Coturnix japonica: one gene and its partners. The protein of the gene in region 2 purifies or fractionates together with the protein of the main gene of each other region. This does not show direct contact. Links are inferred from orthologs where the notes say so. Each region holds a gene or a part of one and is shown on either strand. Other genes may lie near its edges. The genes, in order: PRR5L, RICTOR, MLST8 and FBXW7.

Evidence for each region.
Region 1: the proteins of RICTOR (region 2) and PRR5L purify together in Homo sapiens (affinity purification with western blotting; 3 studies listed by BioGRID and IntAct, with this or other methods). This does not show direct contact. The link is inferred for Coturnix japonica from reciprocal best matches to the Homo sapiens genes RICTOR and PRR5L.
Region 3: the proteins of RICTOR (region 2) and MLST8 purify together in Homo sapiens (affinity purification with western blotting; 14 studies listed by BioGRID and IntAct, with this or other methods). This does not show direct contact. The link is inferred for Coturnix japonica from reciprocal best matches to the Homo sapiens genes RICTOR and MLST8.
Region 4: the proteins of RICTOR (region 2) and FBXW7 purify together in Homo sapiens (affinity purification with western blotting; 3 studies listed by BioGRID, with this or other methods). This does not show direct contact. The link is inferred for Coturnix japonica from reciprocal best matches to the Homo sapiens genes RICTOR and FBXW7.

What each region holds. Positions count from the first base shown.
Region 1 is NC_029520.1:17,281,624-17,286,879, forward strand, and holds the start of PRR5L (proline-rich protein 5-like), read right to left. Parts: upstream 3,189-5,256; 5' UTR 1,922-3,188; intron 1,534-1,921; 5' UTR 1,456-1,533; intron 262-1,455; exon of another isoform or gene 1-261. UniProt on the Homo sapiens protein: Associates with the mTORC2 complex that regulates cellular processes including survival and organization of the cytoskeleton.
Region 2 is NC_029547.1:11,177,664-11,182,344, reverse strand, and holds part of RICTOR (rapamycin-insensitive companion of mTOR), read left to right. Parts: intron 1-841; coding exon 842-924; intron 925-2,205; coding exon 2,206-2,293; intron 2,294-3,255; coding exon 3,256-3,346; intron 3,347-3,470; coding exon 3,471-3,537; intron 3,538-3,656; coding exon 3,657-3,737; intron 3,738-4,681. UniProt on the Homo sapiens protein: Component of the mechanistic target of rapamycin complex 2 (mTORC2), which transduces signals from growth factors to pathways involved in proliferation, cytoskeletal organization, lipogenesis and anabolic output.
Region 3 is NC_029529.1:6,428,951-6,434,422, reverse strand, and holds the start of MLST8 (target of rapamycin complex subunit LST8), read right to left. Parts: upstream 3,191-5,472; coding exon 3,062-3,190; intron 2,920-3,061; coding exon 2,868-2,919; intron 2,801-2,867; coding exon 2,638-2,800; intron 2,560-2,637; coding exon 2,484-2,559; intron 1,064-2,483; coding exon 911-1,063; intron 741-910; coding exon 616-740; intron 431-615; coding exon 267-430; intron 1-266. Other genes in the region: hexosaminidase D-like, read left to right, coding at 3,189-3,306.
Region 4 is NC_029519.1:29,730,280-29,734,960, forward strand, and holds part of FBXW7 (F-box/WD repeat-containing protein 7), read right to left. Parts: intron 2,149-4,681; coding exon 1,938-2,148; intron 950-1,937; coding exon 681-949; 3' UTR 1-680. UniProt on the Homo sapiens protein: Substrate recognition component of a SCF (SKP1-CUL1-F-box protein) E3 ubiquitin-protein ligase complex which mediates the ubiquitination and subsequent proteasomal degradation of target proteins.

The DNA of each region.
Region 1 (5,256 bases), on a different chromosome or scaffold from region 2:
GTATCAACAAGCCTATTGCTCTCTTGGGTACAAATAACGTCTCTCTCATTAATCAAGTCTGTTCTTTGGTCAGGTTCTCACTGGCAGCTGTTTATCTTTCTAGCAAATATTGAATACAGATTAATCCATTTATTCACTTCTGGAAAACTGTGTGTACTGTGACAATAATGAAAAGATAGTAGTTATAAATACCCAAAAGGTTATTTACAGGAAAAACTCACCCATATGGAAGCCTTCGGTCTGCTGGGAACCACTGAGGCAATCTCCACCAAGGAGTGATCTCCAAGAGATGCTGCCTTAGTGGTGGTCAGCCCTTAAATGAGGTCTAGAGGAGGTGGAGTCAAGCTCCACCCCTTCAGGGGCACAGCTACATTACTCTCACCTGTGCTCCCACAGCTGACCTGACACTTGGCTCAGCTGATTAATCAGAGGTTCAGGCTGTGATTACCAATTTCCCATACACTCCACCCCTTCACTGTGTGAACCAATGATTAGGTGAGTTTTTCCTTATTACAGAGATCCAATGTGATGCTGATACAATTTCCCGTTGCAATAGATGTTGATATAATTTGAGTGATGATTTGATGGGTGTTCGCAGTCTTCCGTGGGCCAGTGCTTGATAGGTGCCATTGGAGACAAGCCATCTTGAGGTGCAAGTCTATCTGCGTTTCATCAGTCCCAAACGAATCATCCTCTGGTGGTCCTAGAGGCTCAGAGACTCAGGGAGAATAGTACAAATGTTTCAAAGGTACTAGGAGGGGAAGGTCTGCATTCCAAGGCATAATACAGGCCGTATTCTTATATTGGGTCAATACTACTGCTTGTACTGGATTATGCCCCGGTTGCCAATACCATACCCTTTGGCCAGATATCTGCAGTTGTGTAACTATATCTGGTACCAAAGGAGGTGTCTTAATTTGCCATACAATCAAAGAAGTTATTCTGATTAAGCACTCGCCAGAAAGCTTTGCTGCAGTCACAGACAGACAAAATCAAAACTCGTTTTCATCTTAATTTTTCCTTACTAAATTAAAGGAAATAGCCCCTGGCTGTTGAACAGTATTTCTCATCATGATAAATCAAAATACTTCATAATTTAAACCAGATTTATTTCCTCCTTTTTACACACAGGTAAAACAGAGGCATGTCAGGGAACCAGACCAAAACAAAACACAGTGATGGAGATCCAGTCAGAATATGCAGTGCTGCAGAGTAGTCTAACATCCTACCCTACCAGCAGCCTTCCTGCTTAGAACTGAAAATACAGTGCCAAAAATCACTGTCTTGCACTGCCCTTATCTCATGCAACATCTAGATCCTAAAACCACAATGCATCTTTTATGCATGGACATTCCCTCTGTGATTTTTAAAACACACGTATTCAAACAAGATTTAAATACTAATAACATGTGTAAGATATTTTTCTCACTGTAATCCAGCTTGAAGAGCACTCACATTCTTGTCTTCATCCATCCCAGCTAGCGTAGTTGCCAAAGCTGACATACAGCGGCTATCCAGTTGATTGAGCTTTTCCTGTTAAAGGAGTTTAACAATGCTACATTACTTCAGACCAGTAACAATTTCTGAAAAGAAAACCTCTTAGTTTGTACCTGTCATCCTGTCTTCCCATCAGAAGTCAGTTCATAAGCTTAAGTCTCCACTGATCTCCACAGTCTCCTACTTCATTTGGAAAGGGTAACAATTTTTCAGACTTCTCTCAGTTACACAAGTGAAATTAGGCAGTGGTTAAAAAAAAATGAAGGAAACTAAATGTGCGTACAGACTAAGGGAGCCCCATTTCCTCTGAACATCAGACTAAACCAGAGATGTAACCCAAGCCTCCCTCCCTGATGTTGTACACCCTCCAAAAACTAACCCCGGTGTTTCAGCCCAAACATCCATGAGGGATTTTGATGCTTACCTGGAACACCCTCAACAAAGTCTGGACTAAGAGAGTGTTCTGAGGAACACGGAGGTTCACCACAGCGTGCAGACTGAACACCAGGTCACCCCGTGTCATCCTTCTGGAGTCCCACAGCAGCTGCTGACAAAGCCTGACAAAGGCCGAGTTCTCAAAGATGAGCTGCTTCTCATAGTGCCGCTGGTCTTCTGATGTTTCTCAGGAGCTTCCAAACGGTAGTTAAACAGTTTGTGAACTGCTTAGTGGAGACAGCAGACTCTGAGGCCAAATCCAGTACATCGCTAGGACAGGCACACTTATAGTCTGTTAAAGAACTGTTCATTTTGATCCAGCACTGCCTTCGCTCTGAAGTTCTGCACGTCGCCCTCCAACCTCTCAAGTTCCAAGGAGCTTTGTGGAGCCTGCTTGCTCACCACAGCCTCTCTACTTTTTTCCTGCTGTACTTCATCACCTGTGCCAAAAACATCTGCCTTTTGAGACAGAAATCGGAGGTGATCCACATAGAGAGAGAAAAGTATTTAGAAACAACTTCCTGCAGTTCACATTCTCCAGGCAATCCCAGTGCCTGCCACTCCATACAACACGCCTGTTTGTAGCAGCCAATGGTCTGGGCACGGGGCTGCACCTACACAAGCACCTGGCAGCATTCAGCAGGTAACCCATCTTATTATTCATCTTTGCCAGCGGCTTGCACATCGGTGTGAAATGCTAACTCAGGATCGGGGATCTGAGCAAACCCTACCATTGGAAAACGGCCTGGAAAAAGAACATAAAATCACTGACGTAAGTCAAGTGGAACTGACACAGGCTCTTAAGTTATACCGCTACGGAAAAACATGGGGAAAAAACCGCAGACGGGAACGGATCTGCAGAAGATTCCATTGGCCTCCCGCACGTTACTCACACGCCGGGTGCCACCTCATCCTCCGACCGCTGCCGCGACCAAAAGGCCGCCCGGCAGAGAAGGAGAGCCATCCTCCCACCTCCAGCCCCGCTCCTTGACAGGGCTCCGGGTCCAAGAGCGGTTACCTCGCTCACCACAGCGCCATGACACCCAGCCGCCCTCCGCCAGCCTCGCGAGAGCTACGGCGAGAGGCGAGGGACAAACCGTGTCGGCGAGTGCCAGCCTGAGGGAAAGCTTGAATGTTGTGATTCTGCTGTTCTTGTCAGTCTTACAGCAGGTTACGGGCATAAAATGAGAGCCATGGGAAACTGTGTTTAGTTGATAGGAAGCTGAAGTTCATCATTTCTTACTGAGCATATCTAGCTGTTCAGCCTGCTGCTCAGTAATTTTTTTCATGTTCTGTACGTGCTTGCGCTGCCACCACGAGCATCTCTGGCATTCAAGGGCTTTGTGTTACAATAGCAGTATAAAATTGAATCTCATGTATTTGTTTACAGTATGGAAAGCATCGTGTTGTTTTGGAGAGACACAAACTAGCTGTGAATAAGCATGAAAATTAATAAGAGTGAAGGGAAATTGTGTTATAGCATTATTTCTGGGTTAATTGGTTTTCTTTCTCAGATTAGTTGCCATAACTTGGTCGTATTCACAAGAGTTCTGGACAGCACAGCAGGGCTGAGTTCCAACAGTCTGCTGAGCATCAAGATTCTCTCAAGTACTACAGTGGTAGGAGCTGATTGTCAGTGACAGTGATATTTGGGAGCCTTATAATATAGAAAAATAAGTTAGCAGGTAGAATAGTCTGTCAACAGTTTATTTCTAGCAAAAATACCATCTGTACTGTGCTGCACCTCTGTCTTTCAGTTTTCATGTTGTCCCTGGATATCCCCTACTGGTCCCCAGTTATTCTCTGTTACCCCCAGTTCAGCCCATCCGTCTGTCCTTTCCTGTGGCCAAACAGGTGGCCGTGTTAAATGGTTCTCAACGCTTACATTGCAGGACCATCACCAAACAACTTTCTTTCAATACATTCTAACAGTGACTAAAGCTGCCACTGCCCTTAATAAACAACAACAATCCTTTCCTATTGAAATACATACAGCATTTTTGACTTACAGTGATGGATATCACGTATTATATAACACAGCCAACCAAAACCCACAAGACAGAGAGAGAACCAAGTTCCAGGGCAGCTGATGCTTTATACAGCTCTCCCTTTGAATAAAGATGTAACATACAACACATGGTTTAATTACTTTATTTTTTAAAAAAATCCTGTCAGAAATATAGCTGTGTATTAATTACAAAATATATTAATCTATTGATACTTTAAAAGGAACAAGAGTACCTTAAATTCTGTTCAAATGGAAACCAATACAAACTTTTAACACTGACCCCAGAATAATCTCTTGCATCTATCATTAAGGTACTTGATGATGAGAGTCTCTCTAGAGAAGAGCAGAAAGGCCACCCTGATTTCTTTCATTAGCGAGTTGAAGCCCTCGCCAGCAAACACAAACAGGCATAACATGAGACCACTTCACAAGGTAGCTCATGCTATCTGAGCTCCCACATATATACATCACATACCAACATTTTCAGTACATTTTTCCCTGCCCTGCAGGGGAAGACATTCAGAGGCAAAAAGAGAACACATCTGCAATATATTACAACTGGAAAATGTGCCATAGCAGCTTTGCAAATACATGTACTAAGAGTCTGACTTGAAGCACATTCAAGATGACAGAAATTCAGAAGACAAAGAAGCTAAGCCCCGTACTGAAACACCTTGAGATCCGATAATGCCACAAAGCATCACGAGTGGCAGAAAGGTAGAGAACCTAATTCCTGAAAGAACTAGACAGGAAACTGACTGAATACTCCTATTTTTGTTTGTTTCAGGTATGACTCTCAAGGCTGCCCGCTATTCTGCTTCCATTTTTAAAGGAGTTCTCAGCCCACCCCACCATAAAGATTTCTTAAAATAGATGATCAAATTCTTAAGGTTGGAAAAAAAAAAAAAAGGCTATTTAATTAAGACTATTTCCATATGGAAACCGAGCACCTTTGTACTAACCTTAGGAAAGTGTGAATAAAGGGTCAGAGTCATGACAAGTACAGTGAGATGGGATCAATCCAGACTCTTCAGTTTTTCCATTGGCTGCAGATGCTGCTCTTATTTGAAAGAGAAAGCACTGGAACTGCAGTTAAAGGTGGGGAAAGAATGAGGGAATGGAACTAATACATAAGTTAATGTTTCATTAACATTTCTCCTTCAGGGCAGAAGTAATTAATATTTAGCACATTAGCTGTCAAAGCTTCGGTAAAACTCTGGCATTATGGTAACTTGGCATCACTCAGAATTCTACTTGATAATAACAAAGCAGAAATGAGTAGAATAGCAGCAGTGACTCCAGCATTCCTACTTACA
Region 2 (4,681 bases):
TCCCTGAATTAAGATTTGTTTATATGTACTAAGAACCGCCTCCCTTAAATGAATAAAAAATGTTATTTATTGAATAAACTTATTTGTTTTTAGAATAGTGTGTTACTGTAAGGTTTTTTTCCTTCTGTAACGTGAAGAAAAATAGTAAGTCTGTCTGTTTCAGGAGCTACATCTTGAATGAAGAGATTTAAGTATAAACTGAGGCTGAAAACAAAGTAATGGTTAGCTTCAGGTGGTATTCAGTGACAATTAAGAACAGTTTAAGAGTTCTTCCTTTTAATGTTAAGAAATGAAAGTTGTCTAAAAATTCTGTGTAAAAGGACCAAATATGAGAGGCCGTCAAATTTTATGCAAAATAAAATTGTTTTGAAAAGGTGAGCCCTTCTGATTTGGGATAAGGTGATTAAAAGCAATGCATAGAGAATGTTATTCTAGATATATTTAATCTTGCTGCTTAGAATTCATCTGAGATTAAAAGGAACCTGACTACTGGTTAGGCTTAGACACAACTTTTGTTGAAGAAACTGCTAATGGCTCTGTGTACATCTTCTGGTCTAAGACTGATTCTTTGTTTATGATTTTGTCTACATGCTATTCCTTTGTGAATATTGTTTTTGTGGAGATAACTTGAACATACTGTTCACATTAGAAAGGACAAAAATAACTATCTCTTAGTTATGAAATTACTAGATTTTGTTGAACATTGATTAAAAGATGACATAAAAATGCTAGTGATAAGTAATTTTTGTCATTTATACTTGTGTTTGAACTAGAAATCATTTAACAGTGTCTAATATCTCCTTTGTTTGGTGAGGTAACATTGTGTATTAATGTTTTCTAGGCATTATTAGTCTGTGCAAACCTGGGAATTCTGGGATTCAGTCTCTCATTGGGGTACTTTGTATACCAAATATGGAAATACGGGTAAGTGTTAAATATTTCCTATTGGAATAGGAATATATGTGATGTTTTATTTAATATGCTTGCAATTTTTTTTAACAATTTAGTGGTCTAACCCAGAATCTAATTATGAGACCACTAGTCTTCAGTTTACTTGACCCTTAAATTTCCTGTGTCATTTTTCCATGTGGTCAGGCTGCCTGCTCTTTCAGTGTCAGTGAAGTGTGAATCAAAGCTCACTCTGTCTAACAGGAGGGAATGGAGGAGGGAAAAGGGAAAAAGTGTTAGATGTGAGGAGACAGTAAATAAAATATTTGTATAAACAGGAATATTTTTGGCATTGAAACTGATTTACTCTTACAATCTATAATCTTATTTTCTTTTGGTTTATTTACTTTTAGTTTCTTTCTTTTTTTTTTTTTTTTTGAATATATATAAGTCTTGAAATTACTCTGAATTAAAACATATTTTAGAAATATGCTAATATACTGTGAAATTGCTGCTATCAAGAAAAATATGCTTTCAACCACTGATCTTGGTTTTAAGTTTAGTTCTTATTCATACTTTATATAGTACTGCTAATATTAAATTACTACAGACAGAACAGGCATTAAGAGAAGGTCCATCATTTTCATGAATTCAAATTATTTCAGTAGTTTGCAAGTAAATAGTAATAGTAATAGTCTCGTGCGGGTTGGAAGGGACCTTAGAGATCATTGAGTCCAACCCCCAGGATACGAGCCTCTGTGCTGCAGAGCGGCACTTCTACCACTTGCGCCACAGGGGATTCAAACACCCGGGCCCCGGTGTTGCAATGCAGCATTCCTACCACCTGCACCACTGGGGCACACAAAAATCATTTTTTGCTTTAACAATAATTCAAAGCAAATCTTTTGTAGCTTTAATAATGAGATTAAAACATAGGATTTGACGCATATAGAAGCATTTCCTTCCAGGTTATTGCCTAAACAAAGAAACTGCCAGTCACAGCCGTAACAATTCTAAAAAATATATATGTAGTCTGAGGAGCTTGTTTCTTTAGGTTATGGTGATAATAAGGCACTATTGTAAAGTGAGCAATCCACTTCCCTTTTTCTCCAGATTCCTTCAGAAAACGTGCTTGTAATAAAAAAAAAAACAAAACAAAACAAACAAACAAACAAAAAAACCAAACAAATAAAAAACCTCCAAATCAGATACCAGTTTTAGCACACTGTAAAAGTCAACCTCAGTGCTAATTTAATTGTGAACAGAAAGGCCATATTTTCTAAATATATGAAGTTGCTGGGTTTTTTGTTTTTGCAGCGGGGTCTGCTTGAGGTTCTCTATGACATTTTTCGTCTTCCTCTCCCTGTTGTTGCAGAAGAATTTATTGAGGCACTTCTTAGTGTAGGTAAGTATTTCGAACCAGTCCACACAAGAATTCTGTCAAATTCTTCTACAAATTTGGTGAACCCTTTATTTTTCCACTGGATTGCAAATTATATTAGTGTTAACCTTTTCATCAGCAAATTCATGAGGTATTCTGAAGTCCTGTTTAAAATCCTTTTTCAGCAAATTAACAGTGTTCAGTGTTCAACACAAGTCCACTTTTGTCCGAAGTTCTTAATGTGTCAATTGAAAGTCTGTAAGAAGATCAGTAATGGAGCGTAATTGAGCATTTGCACAAAAGACTGCACAATACAAATTATTAGTCTTGGAAGTATTTGAAGCACTGGTAGTGTAGGAGTGGTGGCGAATGACACAGATAAGTTACTGAAAAGTATCTCTGCATACTGAATATATGCTAATTGCCCTCAATGCTCTTCAGTAAACTTGTCCTAGGGTAATTGTATGGTTTCATGTCTATAGTAAGAGAAGTTACTCTTTTAAGTTCAGAATTATTTATTTGCAAGTTTTAAAAGTGTTCTCTACTTTTCTCTTACAAAAGTATGAGCCTGAAGAGAGTAATTCTGATGTTCCATCATCCTCCAAACTCCAATTACGAATGTCAGTCAAGGGCCTGATTATAGAACCTTAATCATTGTACTGAAATTCACTATTAATAGTTTTTTTTTAAAACTTGTGACTTTGCTCAGTTTGCATGCGAATTTAAAAATGTTGCAGTGCTTTCAGCTGGACAAATTTCATGTGTTTGTGAATGCAGGAAGACATTATTTTGATATTTAAATTAAATATTTGTCTTAGCTTTGAAGTTGACCTTACTTCATGTAGTAGTGTGGATTGGATGACTTATTGTAGATCCTTTTTGACCAAAAGTTTTCTTTAATTTCAAACCTGCTTATCTAACTACTATTAAAATAACACTGAAATACAGAACTGTAATTAACATTGGTTTTGTTTGTTTTCTTGTAGATCCAAGCAGATTTCAGGACTGCTGGAGACTCTCTGATGGCTTTGTAGCTGCTGAAGCTAAAACCATATTACCACATAGAGCCAGGTCAAGGTTGGTATTCAATAAACTCAGACTGAGCTGTTGATTAGTTGTACACAAAAGAATCGCTTTTCTCTTGCAGAAATAATTTTTTTAAAAAGTTTTTTCTAAACTATTTCCATGTTTTGCTCCTTAGGCCTGATCTCATGGATAATTACTTGGCTTTAGTGCTTTCAGCTTTTATTACCAATGGACTTCTAGAGGTAACTGGTGATATTAGATAAGAATAGATGCTTACTACCTTTCTTTTATGAACATTGATCTAAGATACAACATACACACTTTACTTTAGTAAATATTGTAATTTTTAACTTTTTTCCAGGGTCTTGTAGAAGTGATCACAAGTAGTGATGACCACGTATCTGTTAGGGCAACTATTCTTTTGGGAGAACTTCTGCATATGGTAAGTAAGGTTTCTTTCTGAGATTAAGTATAATTAGTTATTCATTTACAATAGTTACTTTTTTGTAAAGATTGGAATTTGTTCAGAACTTGGAACATCTACTTTCCATCAAAATAATAAGTTATTTTTACCTCGTAACAATTCGTATATTGAAAGAAAGCATGAATTGAATCATCTCCAGCTCTCACTGTTTCTCCACCTTGCCTCAGTAAGATGTATTTTTAAGCTAGAATCTTGCAAATTCACTTATCTCTTACTGTGTTTAGCAATAAAGTTGCTACTTGTTTGAGCTTTGGTGTAATGGCAGCAGTGGCAGGATGCTTAGCTTTCTGTTTCACAGTCTGGGTAGATAAAACTTTTGCACATTCAGCTGCAGCACTTCCTAATATTCATTCATGCAACTCCTGAGTTGGTCTTCCCATGCAGCTCTTGATAGCCTCTGAATAACACAGAGAAACGGAAGACACCTTGTTTCACACCTCCTGCCTCCCTGTGTTTAAAGAAGAGAACTTTTATGTGTTTTTTCTTGCCTAGACATGATGTTTTTAAATGCACATGCAAGTGCTACTTTGCAGACTGCTGAGGAACTGTTGGTCATACGTGAAGTGATATGATTTACCTTTCAGGCCAAACAAGTAGTTTTGTTCCACATCCCTTATTGACAGCAAGGAGGGCATATGCAGCAGAGCACTTTCTGTTAAGGCTTCTTGCGTATTTTTGTTAATTTTTATTTATCAAGTATCTTCTGTTGTTGAAAGTGTAGAATGGACAGTCTGAAATTGTATTTCTGGTTTTATATATATTTTAGTATTCTCATACGTGACATAAAAGGATGACCGATAGTTTGCATTTTTTTTTTTTTTGTATATCACCTCTTCAACTATCACCAATGCAAAAATAAGAATTTCAGGATAGAGCCCTACAATTGTTTTTATTTTTCATTG
Region 3 (5,472 bases), on a different chromosome or scaffold from region 2:
GCATTTCTACCAGGTGAAACAAACTGCACAAGTGGATCATCTCTCCAGTTTTAACAGAGCATCTGCTGCCTCTTATTATAGCACAGGCTGAAAGCTGAAGGGATTTCATGCAGTGCAGTGGGCGTGAGGCTGGGTGCTCTAACAGAGTTTTCTTCCCTTACATACATGGGTTTAGCAATGTTCCACCAAGATAACATGCTAGGTCCTGTGTCAGCACCCAGCACTGCCCCACCAGCCTGCAGACAGGCAGGCAAACAGGGTCTCACCTGTGACAATGTACTGCGAGTCTCCAGAGAAGGCACAGTCCCACATCCAGCCACGAGAGGTTTCCCCTGGGTTATTGCTCTTAATGCTCAGCTCTGTCATCAGAGAGAAGTTTGAAGTCCTCCAGATCTTACATGTCTGATCTGCAGAACAGGTAGCCAAGAGCCTGCAAGGATAACACACGCATAGGTAATCTTATTAGTTATGCTGTACATGTAAAGGCCTCATTAATGCAGGCCTGGCACAATAATGAACTGAAGCCCTGCGTATTTAGTAATCAGATTTCTTTACCCCATATCATCTGCCTTACAAGATTCAAGCTGAACTGATCTGGTGGAGGAGCACACTCACGTGGAGTCAGGGCTGAACTTGCATTGCAGGGCATAACGGTTGTGTGCTGGGATCTTGGTCTTGGGGATCAGCTGGGTTACCTCCTCTCCAATGCCACCCGTCAGGTTCCACACGTAGCAGTTTCCCTGCAAGGAGATGGGACGTCTATGACTGGCTCTGTGGACCTCAGCCAAAAGCAGCCTAGACTCTGTGTCCCATCATAGCACAGCAAAACTCTATAGTGCATAGAAACTGGCTGCTTTTGCCCCACAAGGACAACCCAGCACTGCAAATCCCATCTCATGCCCAAGCTCACCGAGCTGTTGACAGCTGCCATGTAGCTGGCATCAGGGTCAATGTGCACAGAGTTCACGGAGACTTCAGGCTCTGGAATCAGCTGCTCATTGTGGTCTGTTTTCAGGTCCCAGATGTGAATGGCCCCGCTCTGGTCACCCACAATTAGCTCAGCCTGCAAGAAAATAGTGACAGGTACCTGAAGAACACAAGCCTAAGTGGGTTTTTCTCTGTCTCTCCTGCTCCAGGAGGGTAAGGACAGGAGCCAGCTGAAGGGCAGCAGCTCTGGCTCCAATCCCTGCTGCTCAAAGCAGCAGACAATGCTGGCAGCACTCCATTAAAACCACGGCTTTTTATCGACAGACTTACACTGTCCATAATTTTAGCAGAATCCCTAGAGGAGATCAGGTCATCAGATGCAGCTAATCCTGTACCTGTGACCCACGGCTTGCTTCAGGAGAAGACAATCATCCCTTGATATATTTAGCTGACTGTGTAGTGCAGAGGCATCTCCTGGACACCTCCTAGCCCACTCTTAGCAGCATCTGCAAATACAATTCTAACACAGCCGTGGCTTTACCCAGGCCATGAGAAATCCCTCTCTGAGAATAAGCAGCTTCACCCTGTCCATACTGTGGATCTATCTGATTAAATACTGCCACCTCTGGGCTAACTAACTGTCCTGCTCACAAGCCATTGCTTCTACAGTAACACAAAGTGATTATCTCACACACATGATTTATGCACAGTATTTGTTTTAATGCAACACATTCTGAGTCTCATGGTGCAGCAGCAGCAACATTTGGCTGAAGTCAGTTCCAAATGACCAATCTCACATTTAGTCCAGAACTCAGTATTTGTAATACTGAGTTTTTACAGAAATCAAAAGCAAAGAAACATTTCTATTATTCATATTTTTTAAAAGATTTGCTTTGAGAAAAAACCAACCTTATGCTGCTTTGTCTGCAGCTCCCACCCTGCAGCACCATGGATAAAGAATGGATCAGATGCGTTATTAACACTGCAATGATACGCATCGATTTCACCACCATGCCCACTAATGCATCCCCATCATCCCCATTAGCTCCATTTCTTTAACCCAAGTGACCTCTCTGACAGCTTTTGAACTGAGTGGTGGATCTCCAGCAAACCCTGAAGACACCACAGACCTTACTGGGGCTGTTGGCCTCTGCTTTTTTCTACTGGTAGCACTGCTTGTGTCCAACAGCCAGCAGGTAACTAGCACAAAGATGCTCAGCAAAAACCTGATGGTTCCAGCATGGATGCTGATGCTTGCTGCAGGTGCAGTATGAGCAAGACAGAAGCCAGAGACATCTGCTGGCTGCCAGCCCTGCTTGAGGATGTTTGTTCCCTGACAAGAAGCAGCAAAGGCAGGGGCAGGGCCACACTCTGCCTGCACCAAGCCTGGTCATGCAGCAGCTGCTCTGCAAGGGAATACATGGACGTGCAGCTGCAAAGCCACCAAGAGCCGAGGGGTCCATGCAACCAAGACCATGGGCTGAGCAATGCTCCAGACTGCCAAGCATTTGAGGGAGCATCACCTTTTCCAGGAAGGCCAGTGACAATCAGTGTACCTGGTTGGGGTGCAGGCAGACACAGTTAATGGGAGCATTGACTTGGAAGATCCGCTGGCACTGCAGGTTACGAGACCTGCAACAAAAAAGAGACCGAATGAGCCCACACGAGCCTGCGGAGGAATGTTCTCCCTGCAGCAGACCCCGCGCTCACCTGAGGTCCCATATCCGTGCCATGCAGTCCTCCCCACCCGTATACATCCAGCGCCCATCCTCGTGGAAGCCCACGGACGTGATGTTCTTGCTCACACCATCGTAATTGATGACGGGGTTGGGGTTGTTGGAGTTGAGGTCGTACATACGGATGTGTTGATACCCTATGGCAGCGAATGGAGCTCAGAAATACCAGGGGCACCCAGCGACCCCAAACACCCCGGGGCTCACCTGCGGCTGCGATCATGCTGCGGTCAGGAGTGATCTCCAGGGCGTTCACCTGCTGCCAGCAGTGCTAAGGGCTGTATGACACCGAGACCACACCGAGACCCCACCACCTACACCGGGCCCCCCCCTTAAGCTGGGACCCCCCCCCCCCGTTACACCGGGGCCTCCCCCCTCACGCCGGTCCCGGTGCAGGATACGGAGTCCTGGTGCTGCACGGTGCGGGTGCAGATGCCGCTGTGCGCCTGCCAGAATCGCACCGTGTGGTCGTACCCGGCCGTGGCCAAGATAACGGGGTCGCTGCCCACCGTGCCCTGAGCCGCGTTCATGGCGGCGGCACCGCGGAGCCGGTACGGGCTCTGCGCAAGCGGGTCGGTGATGTCAAAGGAGCATGCGCAGAGAGCAGCGGCGGTGAGGCGGGACTGCGGGGCGCTGTCAGCGCTGAGTGAGTCACATCCCGACATCGCCGCCAGGGGGCGCTGTGATGGGAACGGCCGCACCGAGCGGAGCGGGGCAGGGGGCTGGGGATTGATGGGGGTGTGGGGTGCGGGTACCGGGACACGGGGTGCGGGCACACGGGGCACAAATAGGGCACAAATAGGGCACAAATAGGGCACAAATAGGGCACACACGTCCCAGGGCCGGCAGGGCACTGAGCCAGCTCGCAGCAGAGTCCCGCCGTGCCGGTGCAGCGCTGCTGTCGGGCCCTTTAAGAGCGGCGGTGGCGGCCGTGGGGCAGTGCTCGTACCCGCGCCCGGGGGGTGCCCGCCCGGTACCGCACCTGCCGGTAAGGGGCGCTCCGGGGGCTGGGGCTGTCCTTTAGTACCGGGGCCGCCATGCGGTACCGCACCGGGAGGCGCAGCCGTTCCCTGGGGCGGCCGGTGCGTCCCTGTCCCGGGGGAGCGGGACCGACCGGGCGCGGCGGTACCGGGGCTGAATCGCGGGGATGCTCCGGGAGCGGGGGTGTGGGCTGGGCTCCACGCGGCCGCCCCCGCACGCACCGCCGCGCTGCGGCAGCGTGGGCTCCGCATGGCAACGGCGGCGGGACGGCCGGGCATTGCGCTGAGCGGCTCCGGGAGGTAAGAGGGGAACGGGGCCGGGCGCTGCGGGGGAGCGGGACACGGCCCCGAGATGCGCTCAGCCATGGGAGGGAGCCGCTGCTGCCATCGGTGCTGCAGCCCGGCACCGGCAGGGTCTGATCCGGGCAACCTGCGCTCTATTCGAGTTAGATAACGGATATTAAAAACGCCCGGTCTTGGCGAGCTGACAGCGTCTGTCCAAATATTTATCCCCGCTCTGATCAGGCGCTGTGTTGCCATGGCAGTGCAATTAGCGCTCTGTCTATGAACGGCCTTCCTGCGGCCAGGGGGTGCTGAGCTCCCCATACCGCTCTCAGAGCCCCATACCCTCCCGCACCCGCACAGCTCCTCCCACGAGGGCTGACACATCCATCGCCGGGCGGGATGGAAATGCTGCAGGGATGGGATGGCACAGAGCAAGGGCCGCCGTTGTCCCCTGCAGGCACCAGGAGCATCACAAAGCGCATCCACGCCGCACACGAGGCGCATCACACGAGCACAGGGCGCAACCCGCGGCCATGGCCGTGGATGCTCAGCACACACCCGCACGTTGCTGCCCTGCTCTGCCCTGTGCCAGGGCCCCGTGCTGCCCTACGGGACACGCTGGGTCCGGGTGCAGCGCTGCCCTGCGCTGTGCTGTGCAGGAGGTGTCGGCAGGGATTAGGGTTGCATCTAGAATAGGGCTAATTCAGAGCCCGCGGCGCTGGGCGGCTCGCAGCAGCTCTCCCCTGGTGCCACCGCTCTGGCAACACAAACAAAACCCTCGCAGTCAGCTGAGCAGCTCTGCAACAGCAGCAACCGAGATCTTTTGATGTTTTTAGTTTTTTTCAGTTTCCAAATCCAGTCGGTGCTGAATTTAACCCTAGAAGAGGCTGCTTGCATCTGCCCTGCTGCTGGAAGGGGGGTGGTCTGGTGGTTATGTGCCCACCCACACTGCAGGAATGGGTGCATGGGGTGTGCTCTGCTTCCCCTGCAGTGCTTCCCCAAGGAAGTGCTTTGGAGCTGCAGGTGTATGTGGGTCCCAGAGTGGTTCCTGCAGTGCCACCTGTATGGGAACTGCTGTGGCTCTGTGTCAGAGCTGGCAGCATCCTCCAGAGTGAGAAGGTGGCACCATGGGGTCCAAGCACTGTGCCATGGGGCCAAGCACTGCGCCATCCCTTGCTGTGAACACAGAGGGGGATGGGGAAGGGGAACCTGCTGTTTCCTGCATTGCAAAGGCTGCCTGTGCTTTGGGCTCATTTTCATGGGGTTTAGTGGATCACTATCTCAGGAGTTCTTCCAAGTGGTCTGGGGAGAGGGCATGGAAAGACATGAAATGCATTTTTATGGATCTTAATGGTGACAGCTCTTTGGGAGGAACTCTTCCCCATACCTCTTGTGTGCTGTATGTCCCACGGGAGATCGAACATTGGTTTAATCTGACCTATCTCTCCCACTCTGTTGTGCATCCCTGCAGACCCTGGGCAGCACAGAGCAGTTGTGCTGTCAGCTCTCTGCCTTCCGTGGGGAAAGCACTGCTCCTCCCGCCGGGC
Region 4 (4,681 bases), on a different chromosome or scaffold from region 2:
GAAAGCTCCGATAAAACTGCACAAAACAATTCACAGTACTATTTTAGCTTTTCCACACCAGGAATGGACTCTCCTTGTTCCGCAGTTGGTTTCACTGCGGGCACTCTCTGGTTTTTCAAGTTGGCGGCCGCTCGTGGAGGCTGGGAGGAGCCCTGCTCAGAGCGGGGCCAGGAGAGCGCCTTGCTGAGGGGCCAGGGGGTACCAGCAGGCATGTGTGTGCAGCTTCCTTACGGATCTCCATAGTAAAATAACCTGGTAACAAGAACTGTAACTTTTTTTTCTTTTTTTTTTTTTTTCTCCAACCTGTTGAAGGGGTCGGAGGAAAGTAAAGAAAGAATTGCACCTGGTTTCATTTCAGAAGTTTTGCAAAGCTGCCCCGGTCGAAGGTGTTGCCATTTTATGTGACGAGACAGCGAATGCCTCTCTTGTCAGTTAGAGTTTGTTATCGTTGTCTTCTCCTTCGTAGTCTGTAGGTCTTTAGGATCTGTTGCCCCAAGCCAACATCCTGCACCACCAAGGACAAGGGATTTTTTTTTTCCTTTTTCTTTTTTTTTTTTTTTTTTTTTTTTTTTTTTTTTTTTTTTTTTTTTTTTTTTTTTTTCTTCTTTTATTTTTTTTTCTCAGGGCGAGGGAAAGGAGAACATCGCCTACACGTTTGGACAAATTCATCTTTCTGCCCTTCACTTCATATCCACGTCAAAGTCCAACACCAGCAGCTTTGTTTCCTCAGTCCCGTTCCGGCTCCCAACGGCACACACCAGCTTTGTGTTGGAAGCTCTGATCCGCCACACGACGCCTCCGCTTCCCCCGCTCTCCAATGTAACTAGATTTCGGATAAATTCACCCGTTTTCAAGTCCCAAAGTTTTACAGTCCCATCATCTGAGCTGGTAATTACAAAGTTCTTGTTGAACTGTAAACAGGTCACAGCGCTCTGATGCTTGTTGGGACCTAGAAGAGCAAACCAGAACATTTTTGTTTCTAACGGGAAAGCAGTGACAGACAGCGCTGTATATAATGTAAATACCCATCCACTTGAGCACAGCTGTTTCTCTTAGATGTGTTATCCCTGTTTTTGTGCTTTAAAAGGTACAGAACCTTGCCTTCTGTTTTCAAAGCGTGAAATTCCCCCAAAATACTTCTTTGTTACAGTGATCTTGTTTTGTTGCATACGCACAGCAGGACAAGTGCATACTTGGAAATTCATGAGAATGAACTTAGCCATGCAGAAATGAGGTGACCACAATGCATGTTTTTCTCCAAGTCCCTTTGAAGTGTTATTATGGGATTACTCTACCAGTAAGTACTGAGGGACATACAGATACATATAAACTGTTAAAACAGCAGCCTGCTTTTCCAGTGAAGTTTAACTTTCTGCTGCAGCCAGCATTGCTGGATATGATAAATGACTTTTTCTGAAGAGGGAACAAAATAACATGCTGGTGTGCATGATGCGTCAGTGGCAACTGTAAAAATGGAAACCAAAATCTTTCTTCTCACTGAGAAAGTGAAAACATCTTCCACTCTCTTCCAATCTTTTCTTTTGATTTATTGCAATAGACAGTGTGCTTTTGCCTCCCAATCCAATTAATCAGTAGGCTCTGAAACATCCAAGTGACCCCTAAATAAAACGTTGACTGGCTGTTTTGAGATGTCATTTCCTACATATTTCTGTGGCTTATTAGGCTAATACACTCATTGCAAATTTCTCTCGGTTCAGGCCATCTGCCTTTCATAATAGGCAAGTGATTTGAATAGATTAGATGAAATTCCTCTAATTCAGAGGAAGATCATACAGCTGTCATCAGAAAAATGATATTTAAGTTGTAAATGGTCCACGATTGTTTCTTTGTATGAAATGGTTAGAAGGTTTTATATAGGATCTGCAGCACAGATTACTGCAGGCAGCTTGATTTCTATCATGGTAGTTTAAGCTCACCTTGCAATGTCTGTAAACATTGTCCTGTTTTAATGTCCCAGATTTTGACTGTAGAATCAGCGTTCCCAGACACAAGTATATTGTCCTTAAGTTCCATTCCACTTGTCAAAGACTGGTGGCCTGTGAGTGTGTGAATGCAGTTTCCGGTCTCCACATCCCAAACTCGGATGGACGTGTCAAGAGATCCACTCACCACATGGATACCATCGAACTACAAGAAAGGTAAATCTGTTATAAACGATTATATTAGGATCTTACAATGCTCTCTATGAAGGCGGGGCTATTAAGCATTTAATTCACTAAAGTTAACATTAGGTATGTGTAATATATTTGGAAATTGCATTTCAGTCTTCATAGATATATGGCTGTGCTTGATACAGGAGCTGGTGATTCATGGCAGTGTCATTTCCAGTTGTGAACACAACCTATGGGGTACTCAGCCTGAAGAGGAGGGCACTGGACCACTGGTCTTTCAAATAAAATACAACTCTTAAAAAGAACAGAATCCTGTCTGCTGCAGCATACAGCACTAAGAGGCTGTTGTTGTCCTAATAAATAAGTTAACAGCCAAACCTGCTTTTCCACAAGTCAGAGGGACTTTAAGCTGGAGAAAAGAAATAACAGACATAAAAACAATACAGGAAAATAGAAGGAAAGAAATTGAAAAATGCTGGGTCAAACATTTTGTCGGCGTAATCATGTGCAACAAGGAACTTTTTAACTTCCTACTCACTGCTGGGAAAAGTAGATATGCTGACTCAGATGTTCAGATTCTGGATTTTCTGGGCATGTACCAAGATACAAAGTAAAAATATGTAGAAGATGAACACACAGAGAAATCAGCGAAGAGATTGGATACTTCTGACCAAGAGATGAAACATGTAGAGGATATGGAGATGAAAAGTAACCTGAGTGAGAGCGATGACGCCATGAGTCAGGGTTCCCACAAAAGGAAGGAAAAAGAGTGGAAGAATAAAAACAGAGGGCTTCAAGGAGGAATACTTAATAAACTGAGACTTCCTTCCCATGAGGTTTTTATGCATCTCTAAGGAGAAGAAGAGTTCAGGAGAGCTGGCACCTTCTTAGAGAAACAAACTATCCTTGTTTGAGGGAAAGATAGGAAATGCAGTAAATTACCAAGACCTACTTGGTTGAAGTATAGGGAATTGTATAAAAGAAGAAATGAGATCAACAGAAGTGTACAAAGGAGTACGCTGGGACAAAATCAGAAAAGCAGAGCGCAAAACAAGACGGAACTAACAAGAGCTGTCACAGATGGTAAAAAGGCCATTTTGGTTAATTAATTAAAAAAAAAAAAAAAAAAAAAAAAGGAAGGAAGGAGAAAAGATTTTTTAGAAGCTTGTTTAAGCTGATTGAGAAGAGAAAGAAACACCAGATGAGGCTATTTAAGGCTATTTAAGTTTTCTTTTTGCTTCAGTCCTCAGCCATCTGAGTGTAGGCTAACACCAGTGACAACTGATACGAACTTCCACTAGAATGGAGAAAATGCACACGTACAGCAAAGTTGTTTGAAGACAATCCTAGAGACATCTGATGCTATTTTGAGATGTCATGGAAGACAGACAAGGCTTCAGATGGCAGGTACCATTTCTCTCTTTATTCAAGGATGGGAGACTGGAGAATTGTGGATTGGTCAGCATAACTTTAATTTGCAGAATAAACTAACAAATAATACTTGGTGCAGGGACACTATCAGTTCAGTTCACAATGTAGTTCACAGACAATTTAGACATATCAGTAAGAGCTCTGGGTGTCTCGCACTTAGTATTTTCATTAGGATTAGTGGGACATTCCAAATGGTAGAACCTGACGCAAAGTGAAGCATGTAAAAGAGAGAGTTATGAAGATCTGAGCTTGGCCAAGAATACATAAGGGTAAAACTGCAGCCTGGGATAGCCAGAGCAAACTAGCACTACTTGTCCATGTGGGCTTGCTGGTATCTAGTAACAAGAGAAGAAAGAACCCGGCTATCCGACTGCTTCTTTTTGTAAAACCTCTTGCATCTTAGAACACCTCAGATCTCTACCTGCAGTCATGGCTGAGTGACACTTTGGTTCAGAAGATTTAGAGAGCAACTGGCACGTGCAGCCTGCTGACTGGAATACATTGCAGTTCCAGTGAAAATACACTAAAAAAACACACACTCTGGTATCCAAAATAGGGATATGCTACACAATATACATAAAGTAACTTCTCCATTACAGCAGGCATTGCTAAGACTTTGACTAGAATTTTGCATCCTGTTTTCTGCACTATGCTTTCAAAAAAGCATGTGAACTAATTTGACTTTGGATAAATGGATCAGGAATGGTGAGCAGCCAGCACACTTGCTGCAAGGAACACTACAGAATGTTTTTCTTTCCTAAGCTGGACTTAAAGAAAGACTGATGCAAAAAAGAAAAAACACAAAAAAAAAAACCTCCTCTCTCCTGTCATTTACCTGTATTCTACTTGCATAAAGTATTCAGAAAGAAAGCCTTAAGGCTGAGTGTAAAGACAAACTACTTCAATATTGCTGCAGTTAAACAGACAGTGGTTCAGATCAGTGGCTGTACTGTGTTTTCTGAGGGTCCTGACAATCTGTGGACTATGACAAAGGCAACTGAGAAAGGTGACTAAGAAAAGGCAACCGGATTAGTACTCTTAAACTGTGGCATTAAAGATCTCTAACAATTGTCTGGGGGGGTCGCAAATGGGGAAATACTGAAACGTAAGAGAATTCA